Linked DNA regions of Pelodiscus sinensis. The protein of the gene in region 1 interacts with the protein of each later gene in a pairwise test. Links are inferred from orthologs where the notes say so. Each region holds a gene or a part of one and is shown in the gene's direction. Other genes may lie near its edges.

The links. The genes of interacting proteins can lie anywhere in the genome.
Region 2: the proteins of GFAP (region 1) and UBASH3A interact in binary tests that used the Homo sapiens proteins (3 or more experiments, as listed by UniProt). The link is inferred for Pelodiscus sinensis from reciprocal best matches to the Homo sapiens genes GFAP and UBASH3A.

What each region holds. Positions count from the first base shown.
Region 1 is NC_134739.1:201,155-208,824, reverse strand, and holds the start of GFAP (glial fibrillary acidic protein), read left to right. Parts: upstream 1-4,383; 5' UTR 4,384-4,435; coding exon 4,436-4,950; intron 4,951-7,670.
Region 2 is NC_134711.1:190,493,710-190,502,263, forward strand, and holds the start of UBASH3A (ubiquitin-associated and SH3 domain-containing protein A), read left to right. Parts: upstream 1-5,055; 5' UTR 5,056-5,119; coding exon 5,120-5,232; intron 5,233-8,166; coding exon 8,167-8,220; intron 8,221-8,554. Other genes in the region: TMPRSS3 (transmembrane protease serine 3), read right to left, coding at 1,609-1,753, 2,907-2,924. UniProt on the Homo sapiens protein: Interferes with CBL-mediated down-regulation and degradation of receptor-type tyrosine kinases. Promotes accumulation of activated target receptors, such as T-cell receptors, EGFR and PDGFRB, on the cell surface.

The sequences.
Region 1 (7,670 bases):
GCTGGTCCCTGGCTGAGCGCTGGCGGGACGCACCCTGGACAGAAGCGGGAGCCGAGTCTGGCCGTGGCCCGGGCCCAGCAAAGAGCCTTTGTGGAGCTGTCGGCTCCTGGCCGGGAAGCGGATGGATGAGCTGTCCCAGGAAGGGCATAGCTGAGCCTGCCTCTGGCTCTCCATAGTGAGGCCCCAGGGCGCAGGGCCCCAGGCAGCGGGGGGGGGGGGGGCAGAGCAGGGGCTCTGCTATTTCCAGCTGGGGTGGGGGGAGGAGGCTGAAGAGGAACTGGAGCTGGGCCGGGGGCCGAGGGGCCGAGGGGCGATGAGGCGCCGGGACCTGGACCAGGCGATGGGGGGGGGGACCAGAGCTCTCGGCTCACTCGGGGAGGGAGAGGGGCTCGTGGCATTGGGGGCCGACAGGGCGACTCGAGGGTTCTCCCATGTGGGGCAGAGGGGGGTGGCCCGGGGACTAGTGAGGGGCCTGGCATTCTCAGCAGGGGTCTGCCCCCCCACTCTCTGGCCGGCAGGGGGCAGAGCCAGGTGGCCGCAGGAGGGGCCAGAGGGGCTCAGTGGCTGTGGCTGGTGAGGGTGGGGGCAGATCCCAGCCCTGGGCCCTGGACCCACTCAGGCTGCATCACTCAGGAAGGGGTGGGAGCAGAGGTAGGGAGTGGGCGAGCAGGGATGAGACAAGGCAGAGAGCAGAGGTGGGAGGAGGCGGGAAGAAGGGGGAGCAGGGGGGGAGCAGGAGTGGAGGGAGGCGGGAGCAGGGGCGGGAAGAGGGGGAAGCAGGGGTGGGAAGAGGGGGGAGCAGAGGTGGGAGGAGGCGGGAAGAGGGGGGAGCAGGGGTGGGAGGAGGCGGGAAGAGGGGGGAGCAGGGGGGAGCAGGAGTGGGGGGAGGCGGGAGCAGGGGCGGGAAGAGGCAGGAGTAGGGGCGGGAAGAGGGGGGAGCAGGGGGGAGCAGGAGTGGGGGGAGGCGGGAGCAGGGGCGGGAAGAGGCAGGAGTAGGGGCGGGAAGAGGGGGGAGCAGGGGGGAGCAGGAGTGGGGGGAGGCGGGAGTAGGGGCGGGAAGAGGGGGAAGCACGGGTGGGAGGAGGCGGGAAGAGGGGGGAGCAGGGGAGGAGCAGGAGTGGGGGGAGGCGGGAGTAGGGGCGGGAAGAGGGGGAAGCAGGGGTGGGAGGAGGTGGGGAGAGGGGGGAGCAGGGGCCAGGCGTGGTGTTGAGGGGGGTGGGGCCAGTGTCCCATCCCCCTCTCACCAGTCGCCCCGGTGGTAGATGTCCAGGCGTGAAACGGGAGGGCGGTTTGTGCCCGTCCGTGGCGCGAAGCCGGTCTCTGGCCCAAGCCGGAGCTGGCCGCGTGCCTGGGGGCCGGGAAGAGGAGGCTGCTGACCAGGCACGTGGCCCCAGCCACGGGGATCAGCGACCGGCGGGAGCCAGGCCGGCCGGGGAGGGCTCTGCGGCTCTGCACGGGGCTCTCGCCCAGGCCTGCCTGGTGGGTCTGTCCCACTGCTCAGGGTCTGGCTGCCATGTTTGGGGCTGGGAAGGAATTGAACCCCGGTCAGATTGGCGGAGGGAGGTGACTCTGCACGCTGGCCCCGCCTCCAGCCCCAGCCCCGCAGCTCCCATTGGCCGGGAGTGCAGCCACTGGGAGCGGCGCTTGCGGGTGTGGGCAGCGTGCAGCGCGACCCCCCCCGGGGACACAGGGACATGCTGGAAGCTTCCGGGCGCGGCGCAGGGCCAGGGCAGGCAGGGACCCTGCGGCTCCAACACCCAGGGGCTGCCTGAGGTAATTGCCGCCCGGCCAGAGCCTGCTCCCTGCACCCCCGGTCCCAGCCTGGTGAAAGTGAGGGAGGGGGTGGGGCCTCTGGAAGGGGGCGGGGCAGGGTCTCTGGGAAGGGGCGGGGCCTCAGGGAAGGGGCGGGGCAGGAGCGTGTGCATTGCCGCCGCTGGGTCCTCGCAGAGCTCACGGGAGGCCAGCTCAGCTCAGCTCCCGGCGCACCATGTCCCTGTCGGCCAGGCACAGGGCGCCGCCGGCTGGCAGTGGGGGAGCCCAGGCCCTGGGCCGCCCGGAGAGCCCCCAACTCCCACCCCCGGGGCCAGGAAGAGCCCACAAGAGACGGGAAGGGGACAAGTGGCCAGAACGTCTCTGGCCCCCTCCCAAATTCGTCCTGACTAAGCCCAGCCCCAGTGTGAGCTGGAAGGGCCTGGTGGCGGGAGCCCCGCCAAGGACCCTCCTTCCGGCGCCTCGGGCACTCGGCGTCCTTGGCTGGTGGCCTGCCGCCTCCCATGCAGCTTTGGTCCTTGTGCTGAGCTGGCACCGAGGGCGCCCAGCGTGCGGCCACCACAATTACCTGCTCTCAGGCCCGGGCACCGCAGGGCCTGCCCCCAGCCCTGCTCCGCCCGCCAGCGCTCCTCCCGGCCTGGGAACAGGGCCCCGGAGCCCTGAGCGCCGCCCGGCTCGCCCTGCTGGGCCCGGCAGCATCCCGGGGAGAACCGGGAGCAGCCGCACGTCTCCGCAGCGTTCCCAGAGCCGCTGGGCTGGCAGCCAAGCCCAGAGCTCCCAGCGACACGGAGCGGGAGTCTCGTAATTAGCTTCTGGCGCGGCTTGGACACTTCAAAGACTCTTTCTAGTCAAGACAAAGCCAAGTTCTGTGCTCCGGTCGCTTTGGCGGGGAGCCGCCGGGACGGCCGCGCAGAGCTGGCACTGGGCAGGGCGGGGGGCAGGCAGGAGCAGGGCCCATCTCACTGGCGCTGGCGTCGCCCCCTGGAAGCAAACACATCCCGAGGACAATCCACACACACTCAGTTTGCACACACGTGCACAGCGTGCACACCCTTTGTACACACTCACACACCCACACACAGCCCTCACATCCCGGACATATGCTCACCCTTCCCATCCCCCTACAAAACCACATCCACCCCTCGCACAGCCACGTGTACCCCCTGCACACACGTCCCTCGCACACTTCTTACCCCGGGGAGCCCTGCTGACGTGCCCTTTGTACATCCGTCCCTTGCACACTCCTTTCCCCGGGGAGCCCTGCTGACGTGCCCTTTGTACACCCGTCCCTCGCACACTCCTTTCCCCGGGGAGCCCTGCTGACGTGCCCTTTGTACACCCGTCCCTTGCACACTCCTTTGCCCGGGGAGCCCTGCTGACGTGCCCTTTGTACATCCGTCCCTTGCACACTCCTTTGCCCGGGGAGCCCTGCTGACGTGCCCTTTGTACACCCGTCCCTTGCACACTCCTTTGCCCGGGGAGCCCTGCTGACGTGCCCTTTGTACACCCGTTCCTTGCACACTCCTTTCCCCACGGAGCCCTGCTGACGTGCCCTTTGTACACCCGTCCCTTGCACACTCCTTTGCCCGGGGAGCCCTGCTGACGTGCCCTTTGTACACCCGTTCCTTGCACACTCCTTTCCCCACGGAGCCCTGCTGACGTGCCCTTTGTACACCCGTCCCTTGCACACTCCTTTGCCCGGGGAGCCCTGCTGACGTGCCCTTTGTACACCCGTCCCTTGCACACTCCTTTGCCCGGGGAGCCCTGCTGACGTGCCCTTTGTACACCCGTTCCTTGCACACTCCTTTCCCCACGGAGCCCTGCTGACGTGCCCTTTGTACACCCGTCCCTTGCACACTCCTTTGCCCGGGGAGCCCTGCTGACATGCCCTTTGTACACCCGTCCCTTGCACACTTCTTTTCCCGGGGAGCCCTGCTGACGTGCCCTTTGTACACCTGTCCCTTGCACACTCCTTTCTCCGCGGAGCCCTGCTGACGTGCCCTTTGCACACACATCCCTTGCACCCTCCTTTGCCCGGGGAGCCCTGCTGACGTGCCCTTTAAACACCCGTCCCATGCACACTCCTTTCACAGGGGAGCCCTACTGACATGCCCTTTGTACACCCGTCCCTTGCACCCTCCTTTGCCCGGGGAGCCCTGCTGACGTGCCCTTGCACACACATCCCTTGTACGTTCCTTTGCCCGGGGAGCGCTGCTGTGTCCCGGGGCCTGGCTGCGGTGCCTGGCACGCCCTGTGCTTACAGGAAAGGCTGCGGTCACTCCTGCCAGTCTCTGGGATGCTGGGAAGGGGCACGGGCAGGCCAGGCTGTCCCCTGCCGCAGCCGCCTGCCAGGAACACGCAGCCACGAAATGAGTTCATGGGAAGCTGGTGCCCGCCCACCAGAGGGGCCGGGGCTCCGGGAGCAGGGGCAGGGGCAGGTCCTTCCGCGTTTGTTCTCCTGGCCCAAAGCAATAGCCGAGGCGTTCTGCCTGCTCTGCCGTCCTTTGTTCCCCTGCCAGGGGCCTGGGCAGTTGGCCTGGTACACGGCGGGCTCTAGGACCTGGCTCACAACGCCACCTCCGCCCGCCCCCGGGCTGGTCCTCTATAAACCCGGCTGCACAGGGAGAGTTCCCAGGCTGGCCCCGGCTCAGGCACAGCCGGGAGGATGAGCCTGAGGATGGAGAGCCAGCGCCTGTCCTCCTACCGGCGCCGCTTCGGCCCGCAGGCTGCTGCCGGCCACCAGCCCCTCCGGGCCTCGCCCCTCATGTGGCTCCTCTCCCCCAGCCCCAGCCCCCGAGTCTCCATGACCAAGAGGAGGAGCTCGAGCCTGAGCATCCAGGCCAGCTCCAGGGTCCCCCCGGGCAAGGCAGACTTCTCCCTGGCCGAGGCGCTCAACTCCGAGTTCAAGGAGACGCGCACCAACGAGAAGGTGGAGATGATGGAGCTGAACGATCGCTTCGCCAGCTACATCGAGAAGGTGCGCTTCCTGGAGCAGCAGAACAAGGTGCTGGCGGCGGAGCTCAACCAGATCCGGGACAAGGAGCCCACCAAGCTGGCCGACATCTACCAGGAGGAGCTGAGGGAGCTGCGCCGGCAGGTGGACCAGCTGTCCAATGCCAAGACCCGGCTGGAGATTGAGCGGGACAACCTGCTGGAGGACACCAACGGCCTCCGGCAGAAGTAAGGAGCCGCCTGGACGGGCCGACGGCTCTGCAGCCGGAGCGGGCGCGGGGAACGGCCCGGTGGTAACCAGGCTTCGCCGCGAGGGCAGCGACTAACGCGGAGTAGCTGCAGTTCTGGGGGGACCCTGGGTGTGGGCATGAAGGCAGGGGGAGCAGGGACTGGATTAGCGGGAAGGCGGGGGTGCAGGGGCCAGGCGTTAAGAGGAAGGGGGGTGCAGGGGCCGGGCGTTAAGAGGAAGGGGGGTGCAGGGGCCCAGTTAGCGGGGAGGCGGGGGTGCAGGGGCCAGGCGTTAAGAGGAAGGGGGGTGCAGGGGCCGGGCGTTAAGAGGAAGGGGGGTGCAGGGGCCGGGCGTTAAGAGGAAGGGGGGTGCAGGGGCCCAGTTAGCGGGGAGGCGGGGGTGCAGGGGCCAGGCGTTAAGAGGAAGGGGGGTGCAGGGGCCGGGCGTTAAGAGGAAGGGGGGTGCAGGGGCCCAGTTAGCGGGGAGGCGGGGGTGCAGGGGCCGGGCGTTAAGAGGAAGGGGGGTGCAGGGGCCGGGCGTTAAGAGGAAGGGGGGTGCAGGGGCCCAGTTAGTGGGGAGGCGGGGGTGCAGGGGCCGGGCGTTAAGAGGAAGGGGGGGTGCAGGGCTGTTTTAGCGGGGAGACAGGGTGCAGGGACCGGTGGTTATTATGCCAGCTGGAGCCCACCTCTGCCATTCACCTGCTGGCCAGTCACGTCCCCGCTCTGCGCCCAGCTGCCCCGGCGGGTGGCTTTGGACGGGCTCTGCGGGTGGGGAGAGCTCAGTGGAGCCAACTCCGCCCCGGTAACCGACCGGCCCACTGGTGAGAGATTACGCTGCCCACACCCGCACGGCCCCGTGTGCCCGCACCAGATGGGCCTGTACACGTTGCCTGGCACACGTCTGTGCCTGCACTAGCAGCTGGATTGCAGGGCGGCAGCTGGCCCAGGCCTCAGGGGGGCACGAGCGTGGCAGCCCCGGGCCTGCGTAGCCTGGCTCACACTCCGACCTCTCGTGCGCCGGTGGTGAGAGACGTGCACCGTTCCTGGCACAACCCACACGGGTCGAGACACCAGAAACGACCTTAACCTGGGAGCCAGATGGCAGAATGTGGGAGGGTGGCCGAAGAGGTGACGGTTCGCCAGCCTCAGACAGAGGTTTGCTTGTGGGGGTTGCTGGCTCTTTCTAGAGGCAGTGTTGTCTAATGGTTAGTGCAATGGAGGGGAGTTTGACTTTCAGGATCCCAGTTGCCGTGCTGGGAGGGGAGAGTGCTCTGACAGCACATGGAAAATCATGACTCCTGAGTTCTGCTTGGAGAGAGGACGGGGTCTAGGTGCAGGCAGCAGGGGCTTGGAGTCGTAACTGCTGGGTCCTCACCACTCACTGTGGGCAAGAGCTGGGCTGGGCAGTAACTCTCGACGGGGCCACGCCAAGATTTTGGTGAGGGATCAAGAGCCGCGCTTGTCTACGGATGGGGTGCGGGATCGGGGTGGAGGCTGGGTGCAGAAGGGAGCTTAGGGTTCAGCCTGGGACAGGGGATTGGGGTGCAGGGTCTGGGAGGAGCTCTGGCCACAGGAGAGGATTCTGGCCTGGGGGAGGGGTGCGAGAGGGGGTTCAGGGTCTGGGAGGGAGTTGGGGTGTGGGAGGGGGTGCGGTGCCAGAGGCAGGCTCTGGTGGGGGGACACTTACTTAAGCAGCCCCTGACCGCTCTGTGCCAAGTGGCTCTCTGTGCGGGGGGGGCTTCACACAGTGCCTCTGCCCCCAGCAAAATCTCTCAGCTCCACTGGCCGATGGAGGGTGAGCGATTTGCTGCGGGCAGGGATCGCACGAAGCCTCCCCCACCACAGCACAGAAGCCACAGGGAGCAGCCAGTCACTTTGAGCAGCGCTGCTACCTGCCCGGGGGGGGGGGGGGGGCGATTACAAGGGCTGTCGGCCTGGATCCAGCCATGGGCTTTATCTTGCCCACCCTCGGGCAAGAGGCTATTTGCTGCGCTGGAGGGGTAATTGCAGAGTCCTAGCGCTGCAGGGAGCTACAGACACGCTCGTTTTCGTTGCACTGGGGAAGGGCTCACGATTGTTGCTGCTGGCGAGACCTCGGTGGGAGGTGCCCCGTGCAGTTCTGTTCGTCAGAGAGCTCTGATTGGTCGAAGCGGAGCTGTCCGGGGAGGGACGGTGGGGACGCATCGCTGGGTTCGGGCGCAGTAGTTTGGGAATGGCCGAAACAGCCCATTGCTGCATTTCCACTTTGGCGGGGAGCGCCTGGTGCTCTCCAGGTTCCACAACAGCTTCTGTAACAGGTTAAGACATAAAAAGGACAGAACTGAAACAAACCGGACCAAGCGCCCTCGGCACGTGTCACGTTACTGGGGCGAGAGACATTTTTGCCCTTTCTTGCCCCGATCCAGGATGAGAAACAAGGTGGGTCTGTTCCGACCTCTCCCAGGCGGGGCACCCAGCACCCCCACCCGGCGCTCACCGTCAGGGGCGCACGAGCCTTGGTGGGACTCTGGCAAACACCCGCAACGGGGGCCAGATTCCTGTTCGGCTTATGGTGAGTTCAGCCCTTGAGCCAATCAGGCCTCCGCTGTGTTTGCTGAGCCCTTGAAAACCTGGCTCAGGGCCCGTTGAAAACCCTGGCCCTGGTGTCTCTGGAGCTCCGGTGAGGTGGAGGGTCCGTCCTTCCTCAGGCTACCTCTGGTCTCTTGCGCCCGTGAGCTGTC
Region 2 (8,554 bases), on another chromosome or scaffold:
CTGTGTTTTGTAAGAGATTATAGGGTACGTCTAGACTACATGCCTCTGGCGACAGAGGCATGTAGATTAGGCTACCCGACAGAGTAAAATGAAGCGGTGATTTAAATAATCGCCGCTTCATTTAAATTTACATGGCTGCCGTGGTGAGCCGACAAACAGCTGATCAGCTGTTTGTCGGCTCAGCGTGATAGTCTGGACGCTCCCCTGCCGACATCAAAGGGAGTTGTCGACAACCCAGGTATGCCTCATCCCAGGAGGCATACCTGGGTTGTCGACAACTCCCTTTGATGTCGGCAGGACAGGTCCATGTATATAAGAGGTGGCAGAAGAAAGCACAAGTCCAAGGCAAGAAGAAAGCTCTAGAATTTTGCTTTGGCAGCAAGGCTAATTGGAACGATAATATTGGAAATATGGTTATAGAAAACTGAAGGCCAAAATTAGAGGTGATTGTTGGGCCTAATTGAGCTGGGCAAAGTCACGCAGAAAATCAATGGAAGAGGCAGTCCTCTGAAATAGATTAAAGAACAGGAACCCACATTAGTGGATCAAAAAGAAAGACAATGGGTTGCACAGAAAATAATGAATGGTTTCTGTAAAAAAATTATTCTGGTTCGATATATCAACGCCAAATTAAGAGAAAATTGAGTGTGAAACTCATCCATTTGCATATCTAGGAGGTCTTCAGTTTTGATTCATCCACTCTATCCCTGAACTTACCTTTGAATTTTGGATTTGCAAAAACTTGAAGCTCAGACAAAACTTCTGAGTTTCACCCAGTTTCATGTAAAATTGCAAACAGTGGAAATTGAGTGGGTCTCTTAGGGTGCGTCTACACTGCACTGTTATTTCGAAATAACTAGCGTTAATTTGAAATCATAATGCGAGCATCTACACAGCCATTCTGTTATTTTGAAATAATTTCGTAATGACAGATGGCTTATTCCAAAATCTGTAAACCTCATTCTACAGGGAATAACACCTATTCCACAACAGCTTATTTTGACATAAGCGTGCAGTGTAGATGTACCCTGAGACAAACAAAATGTGAAATCAGCTAAATTTTGTCTGGCTTCAGGTGTCATGATTAATATTTTGCAGAGCTATAGTAGTTAAACAGTCTGTATAAATTAATATCACGTTATCTGACCTTGGGTCTGATTCTGTTCTCATTGAAACTACCGTGTGTTTTGTCCCTTGTTTCAATGGGAACAAGGTCAGGCTACAGAATATAACCAACCTGCCTATTGTGCTATCCCTGATCGATATTGCCTGTTTCTAATGATATGGATTTCCAGATTTGGAAGGTTTCAGGTCAAACATTCAAAATTGTGTCATATCTTAAGTAAGAAACAAATCATCTACTACCTGGTTGAAGCTGTATCAATAATGAAACTTTGCAAAAATATCATGGAAACATATCCGCCCAGGCAAAAAAAGTCCTTACCCATTCGTACCCTGATGAAGCTAGTGAAAAAATAAGTGCTTCTTTTCTCAGTAATGAAAAAAATTACCCACAGTGTTTGTGTAAGAATAGTTTTGCAAGGGAAATGTACACATTACAAAGAAACAAAAAAACCAAACCAAAACAAAAAAAGGCAAAATCCCTACCGTGTTCACTTGCACTGGGATCTACTTTTGCTTGTTGTATGCTGAGAAATCTTTTGTAGAAAAAATTAACTTCAGGTACTGGCAATTTGTCTTCTGTAACAGAGGTGATTTCAAGATTTGCAGTATTGGGATTTGTCTCCAGTACCTGGCTCCACAAAGAACAGAAGTCAGTTTTAAAACCAACTATTCTTTTGGACCATACCACTCCAATGCCTTTCTACTGGTGATGATTTTATTCTATTTTGTTTTTTGTTGAGGGGCTCTGCTTTTAGCACATTTTTGGAATGAACAGCTGATACAAAGCAAATCCATGGACAGCTTTCAGGCTTTTTCTCTGTTTGCTTAAAAATGGCTTCATCCTGAAAAATGCTGAGCAGCTTCAGTGCATTACTGAGAAGCTCATGCAATTCCCATTGACTTCAGTGAGAGTCAGGGCACTCAGCAAATTGCACAAATTGATCCCTAATTAGCAAACATTAACCAGGAATTTACTGAAACTAAAATGTTGCTCAGGTCTGCCTATAACCACAGTTATTTAGAGTAATTCATTCACCACATCAAGAAATTCTGACAAGTTCCTTCTTTAAACGTCAAAGCATTTTCTTTTCTACAGGATGCTTTTTAATTGCTACTGTTAAGTAAAAGGAAGTACAAGTTATGAACTGTGCAAAGCCTGTTCTGATCTGACTTCCCAGTTAGCTTATGCTGAAGAATTTTTGCATCTTGTATGCCTATCACAAACTGAAAATAAAATGCTAAAATATAGTTCTGGGTAAATAAGCCTTACATTTTAAAATGTAGGGACATGAAGGGATAGGATAGAGAAAACTTTGGCATCTGCTCTAACAATCAAATGATACAGTGGGTCTGATTCTGCACTCACACTGATGTAATCAGGAGTAATTGTATTAAAGTCTGAGGAGCTAGTATGCTATTAATCTAAAATATCAGGCCCAGGAAATGTTTACCTTAGACAAAGCATAGTTCTTGTTTGACAGCATTTTTAAGAAACAGAATATCTTTTCACCATCCAGCAAGCATTACTTACCCAAATAAAACCTTTCTCTCATTCTATCAGATATAGCATACATTCCTGGTGAGTAAACATTTCAAGAGATATTATATAACTGCTGTTTTAGTGCAGAAATAAGGAAAAAGCATCTTACTGCAAATGGTTTCTGAACATAAAGAATACCTTCATTGTTCCATGTTCTGGAAATAAACAGTATTAAGAAGCATGACATACAGTTACAGAATAATAGAGATTGTTATTTCCTCTGTCCTAGGTTGTTACTCACCTCTTCTTGAGAAGCCATGGTTAAAAACAAAAATATGTTCTCTTTTCATTATAGTAATAAGCCAGATGGAAATCTAGCTGTTGTTCAACCAGTCCACTCAGGAAATATTTTCATCAAACCACCCAGAACTGCCAGCTCAACCACTGTAGCAAACGACATTATTACTGTAGTCTGTGTAATTCAACCTGATCGTTGATATCAGGTAGCCTACATGACTATGCATAGCAGGAAGGCAAAGAATCAGCAACCTTTTTAATCAGTGTAATCAGGTAAGGTAATATTGTGGTTCTTTTCGTGAACCTGTCTGAGAGGGAAACTCTCCAAACATGGAGTCATAGGTGTGCTTACCTGTTCCATTTTTCCTAAATAAAGTGGCTGGAGAAAAGCATGCGCCAGAATTCTGGGCTCTGGCGAATGAGCCCCTCAAAGCTAGTTAGTCTGGCAAACCAGGCCCTTCACCTAGTTGCATAGCTCTGTGTGAATTTTGTGTGGTTTTTGCCAAATGCATCCGCCAGGCACAATGTTGAGTTTGGGTTCAGTTAGAGGCAGAAGTGAAATCAGAATTGGCTTATCTATGCCTGGAAATGACTGATATTTCCATTTCCCCCATTTTTTTCCTGGGGTACTGAGAGAAATTGTTCATTTGCTCCGCAGCTGCCCTGAGCTCAGCCTTGGAAAACCTAGGTTTGATTCCCCACTATGCCTGAGGGAAGGCTGTTAGGGAGCAAGTCACAATTCCCTGATTCTCAGCCCCGAGGACCTGACTTAAGTTCAAGTTTCCACTCCAGGGTGAGATGTGGAGGCATCTTTAAGGGTGTGTCTAGACTACATGCCTCCATCGACGGAGGCATGTAGATTAGACAGATCGGCAGAGGGAAATGAAGCCGCGATTTAAATAATCGCGGCTTCATTTAAATTTAAATGGCCGCCCCGCTCTGCCGATCAGCTGTTTGTCGGCAGATCGGGGCAGTCTGGATGCGCGGTCAACAAAGAAGCCTCATGAAAGAAGGCTTTTTTGTCGACCGCGGCGCATCCAGACTGCCCCGATCTGCCGACAAACAGCTGATCGGCAGAGCGGGGCGGCCATTTAAATTTAAATGAAGCCGCAATTATTTAAATAGCCAGGAGCAGATCTGGCTCCTGAGAGGAGGGAGGACATAGAACTCCATGTGCTGTCCCTACCCTGACCAATTCCTGGCCAATGGGAACTGGTTGGGGGTGCCTGTACCTATGGACAAAGAGCAGTGTGCAGAGCTGCTTTTATGCCTCTGCCTAGGAGCCAGACCAGCTTCTGGCCACTTCTGGGGCACAGCATGGTCCACAGTGCCCGAAGAGGCAGGAAGCTTGCACTAGCAGCCCCACTGTGCTGCTGACCACGAGCCACTGGAAGTAAGCCCATGTCCAACCATGAGCATCAACCCCTTGCCCCCACCCTGAGCCCCACCCCAACCTGGAGCCCCCTCCTATAACCCAGGCTCCTCATTCCTGGCCCCTTCCCAGAGCCCGCACTCTAGTCAAAAGAGATAATTATGTTGGGTCCCAAGCATCAGCAATTTTCTTCAACTGGGTCACAAGAAAAAAAGTTTGAAAACCACTGATCTATGTGCTTCAAACCTGGCTTGGGGGGGGGGGGGGTACCTTAAAGGAGAAATTATATTTCCTCCTCCATGCTCATTTCATTCTTGGCTTCTATGATGGGGAAGCCGAGAAGGGACCTAGCTGTGGTGCTAGCTTTGTGAGGCAGAAATCTGTCTGCTAAGAACCTGGCTCAGACCACCAATTGATTTCACGTACACCACAGAACAACCTATGCCTGACACCAGTTCACACTCACTGACTCGTTACTGCTTTGGGGTGCATTTAAAATGGTGATCTGAAAGGAAGAGATTCAGTGCCCTGATAGTAGCAATGTGCACTGACTGTGCACTCTGTTGTGCTGTGGACATGTACTGGGTTAGTCCGATTTTACTACAACCTATGGCAGGCATAGGAAGACTGCATATTTTTCTTGCTTTTCAACCACCCTAAAATAAAAATGCAAAGACTAACATGCTGTGCAAACAGGATATCAGCGTTTCTCAAAAAGATCACAAGGGGTTTGAGGTTTTTTATCTTAGCTGCCTCTCTCTCTCTCTCTGTCTCTCTCTCTCTTTCTCTCTCTCTCTCTACTAATTTCTGCCTGTACTGAACTTACATTCACAGGAGTGGAAGAGATGGCAGTGGCTGAAACACAACTATATTCGAAGGTCTTGAACAAAGTCAAAAAGAGAAGCAGCTGTGCTGTACTAGAATCCCTCTTATCTATGGGATTCCCTGCACATACAGCGTGAGTAGCATTAAGTTACCTGAAGATATTAAAATAATTTTCTCATAAAAATTTGAGCACAGCTTGCATTTTTAACAGAGAAAACAGGCATCTGCTTGACAGGGATGTTTCTGTATATAGATAAGATCTCCTAGTCTATGCCTCTTTTATAGCATTTTTGGGGTGTTGATCTAAACCTAAAAAGAACCTATTGTGCATCCATTTTTATATCTAAGATCTAATAACTATCCACTTTTCAGGTTGAGAGATTGTAAAACGTGTTAAACACTTGACATGAACAGTAATCTCCCACAGTATTACCTACAACAGGTCATATTTTTCATTAATCACTTTTGCTGTAATGCAGGTAAGTTTAAAGATACCTTATAGCTTATACTGGATTCTACGACATAGCAAAGACATCTTACCGTATGTAGGATTTTGGAGACAGGGTTTACTTTTCACAAGGCATAGTTTTTCTGTTTATAAATAGCATCTAAACCTATTCAACGTGATTGTCATTTTTACTTTTTTTAAACCCATAAAGTATTTATCTTAGTTTAAGATCATGTTAAAAATTAAATGCCAATGAGGGGCCATCTTTTCAGAATTGAGCGCTGTGTTGTAAAGTCTTCAAATCGTCTTTAAAACATGTTGCTGCTACTGGTGGATGTATGCCTGTTTTTTTTAAAGTAAAGGTAACAGAGCACGGAGCAGGTCTGGATAAAATTTAAAAAGTCACCGGGATTTTTGCTTAAAATTTGAACTGAACAACTTTCTGAGTTTAGACATTTTAGCGCAAGTTTGCAGTTCCTGATTTCAGCCATGACTAACTTTCCTGGCCTGGCCAAAACCAGCTTGTGAGGGAAATAATCGTAGGATAGCCCGATCTTGCATGGTTTAGAGCTGTAGAGCCAGAGTCTCTTTTTAAACACTAAGCCCCAGTTGCATCGGAGCAGTTTAAAGGTACCTTAGTGTAAATGGGAATCACATAGAATCTCATCAACACACTAACCCCCAACTCTTGGCTTGCACAGTACTAATTGTTATTAGCTTTTCCAGACAGTGATCTGGTAGTTTGTTTTACTTATAAAACAGTATTTTCAATATATATATATATATATATATATATATATATGAACTCTTCTGCTTTCTGTTTGAGAGATCTTTGTAGACCTAGGATCCATTTTTGCATTACATTGCCTTATTGTCTGTTATTTGTTTGGAAGAAGTGCATAAGAACCCCAGTCGTAGGCTAGGATACCGCTATGCAAGCCACGATACAAACACAAATGAAAACGTAGTCACTGCCTTGAAAAGCTTACAGTCCAAAAACGAGTTGAGGCAACAGGTAGATACAGACTGACACAAGGAAATAATGGAGCAATGATGACTGGTATGATAGGCAGAGGTCTCTGCTCCCCAGCTGCCTAGCTATTGCCAAGTTTATTTATAGGCCTAATGGCAAAGGGTAGTTTTAAGGAAGTAAATAAAGGAGGATCAATGACTTGGCTTTGTTGTTGTTGGCCAGGAGCTCTTGCCAAGATTCAGGGGTTTCATGGGAGAAAGCACAAAAACTCTTTTGAAAATGTAATCTGTGGGTGGATGGAGGTTGGCATTGGCAAAGAGAAGGCAGGAAGTGACCTATTACTAGTGTATGGGAGATAATAGTTAGAGAAGGGATGGATTGTGAAGGGCCTTGGAAGTGAAAACAAGCTGCTTGTGTGTGATGCTGTGGAGAAAGGGAAGCCAGTGGAAGAAGGCAGAGAGAGAACTGACATGTGCAAAGTAACCAGCTAGGGAAATAGTCTTAACCAGCAGCATCCTGCATTGATACGAAAGGGGTATGATTGCAACCATCATGCCTAGATGTTGCAGTAATCAAGGTACACTATGATGAGCGCTTGAGTGAGAATTTTAGCCATGAGGAGGGACAAGAAAGGCCATACAATAGAGAGGTTTTGCAGAAAGAATCTGCAAAATTTGCACATAGGATATAAGGAGAGGTCTGAGTCAAACCTAACCCCCAGTTTATAGGTCTGAGTGACAGGAAGAATTGTGGTGGTGTCCTCAGTGCTCAAGAACGTAAGCAGTGGGGAGGGCAAGAGGGAAAGATTAAGGGTTGTATTTTGGCCATGTTGAGCCTTCAGTAATAAAAAGACATGGCCTGTCCTAAGTAAGAAAAGCGTGTCATTATGTATTTACAAGTCCACATACACTTTGCTCCCTGGCGAGAGGAAGCCAGAAAGAAGCACATGAGACAAATACATGTTGCTTAATGCACTGCCAGAAGGTGCACAGATACTGCAAAGATGGATGCCGTATAAGAACTTGAACAGAAGGGAATTAAATGTACAAATTTAAGTTCAAGGCCCCAGCAGGCAGAACATATTGTTCAATGTGCATCAAAAATTGTCTCTTGGGTATTGCAAAAGAAACAGAAGAGTAATAGTGAGTTTTAGAAATGTGTCCAAGTTGAAATGTCCAGCTTCCTCTTCCTCTACTGGACTTCTCCCCATCTCCACCACTCCAAGAAACTCCACTCTCGGTCTCAAAGATGTGTATGTATAGGTACATACTGCTCTCAAAACTGAATTTGGCATAATTTGGTTCCATAGAACAGTAATTACGTATTAGACATGACCTGAACCAAATTCCCTGAATTTGTAGCTCAAATTTGTCTCGCCCATAGGCAGAATCCAAACAATAAATCCTTTGGGAAAATGTGGATCCAGATTCTAAATATAAGAGTGTTTGGATCTCAGGTTCTGATTTGCTTCGATAGTGCTTACACTTGGGATTTTGTTTGGCCGCATCTTTAATAATAATGTGGGCCTATATGACGCATGCTTCTGCAGTGTATTAAAGAAAAGTCTCCAGACCTCAAGGGAGAATTTATCATTTATCTTGCTGCGTCTATTCTTTCTCATTGTGATTCCACTTTATTTTTCTTAGGAATAAAGCTTTGGCTGCTACAGGACACAAGACAGTAGAAGAGGCTTCCAAGTGGTAAGAATGATGTGATTTACAGTTCCCCGTGGAGTACTATCAAATGAAACCAAATTAAATGTATTTGCTTATGGGCTGTTTCCCCTCCCCCCCAGGATTTGAATTTAGTAGAATTTATGGTAAAAATGAAATAAAATCTGAGTTCATCTTTATTTTGCTTTATGAGACTAGTCTTATTTGATTGTATTTCTTGTGGGTATAACATTATTTGCAAAAAGTACAAAGTAAAGTCAGAGCAGAGTAACTTTGTTTCCTAAAAGATGGTTCTTTTTTAGGGAAGATGAGAGAACATGTGGGTGTGGGGGATGGATACTGTCATGATCCCTTAATATTG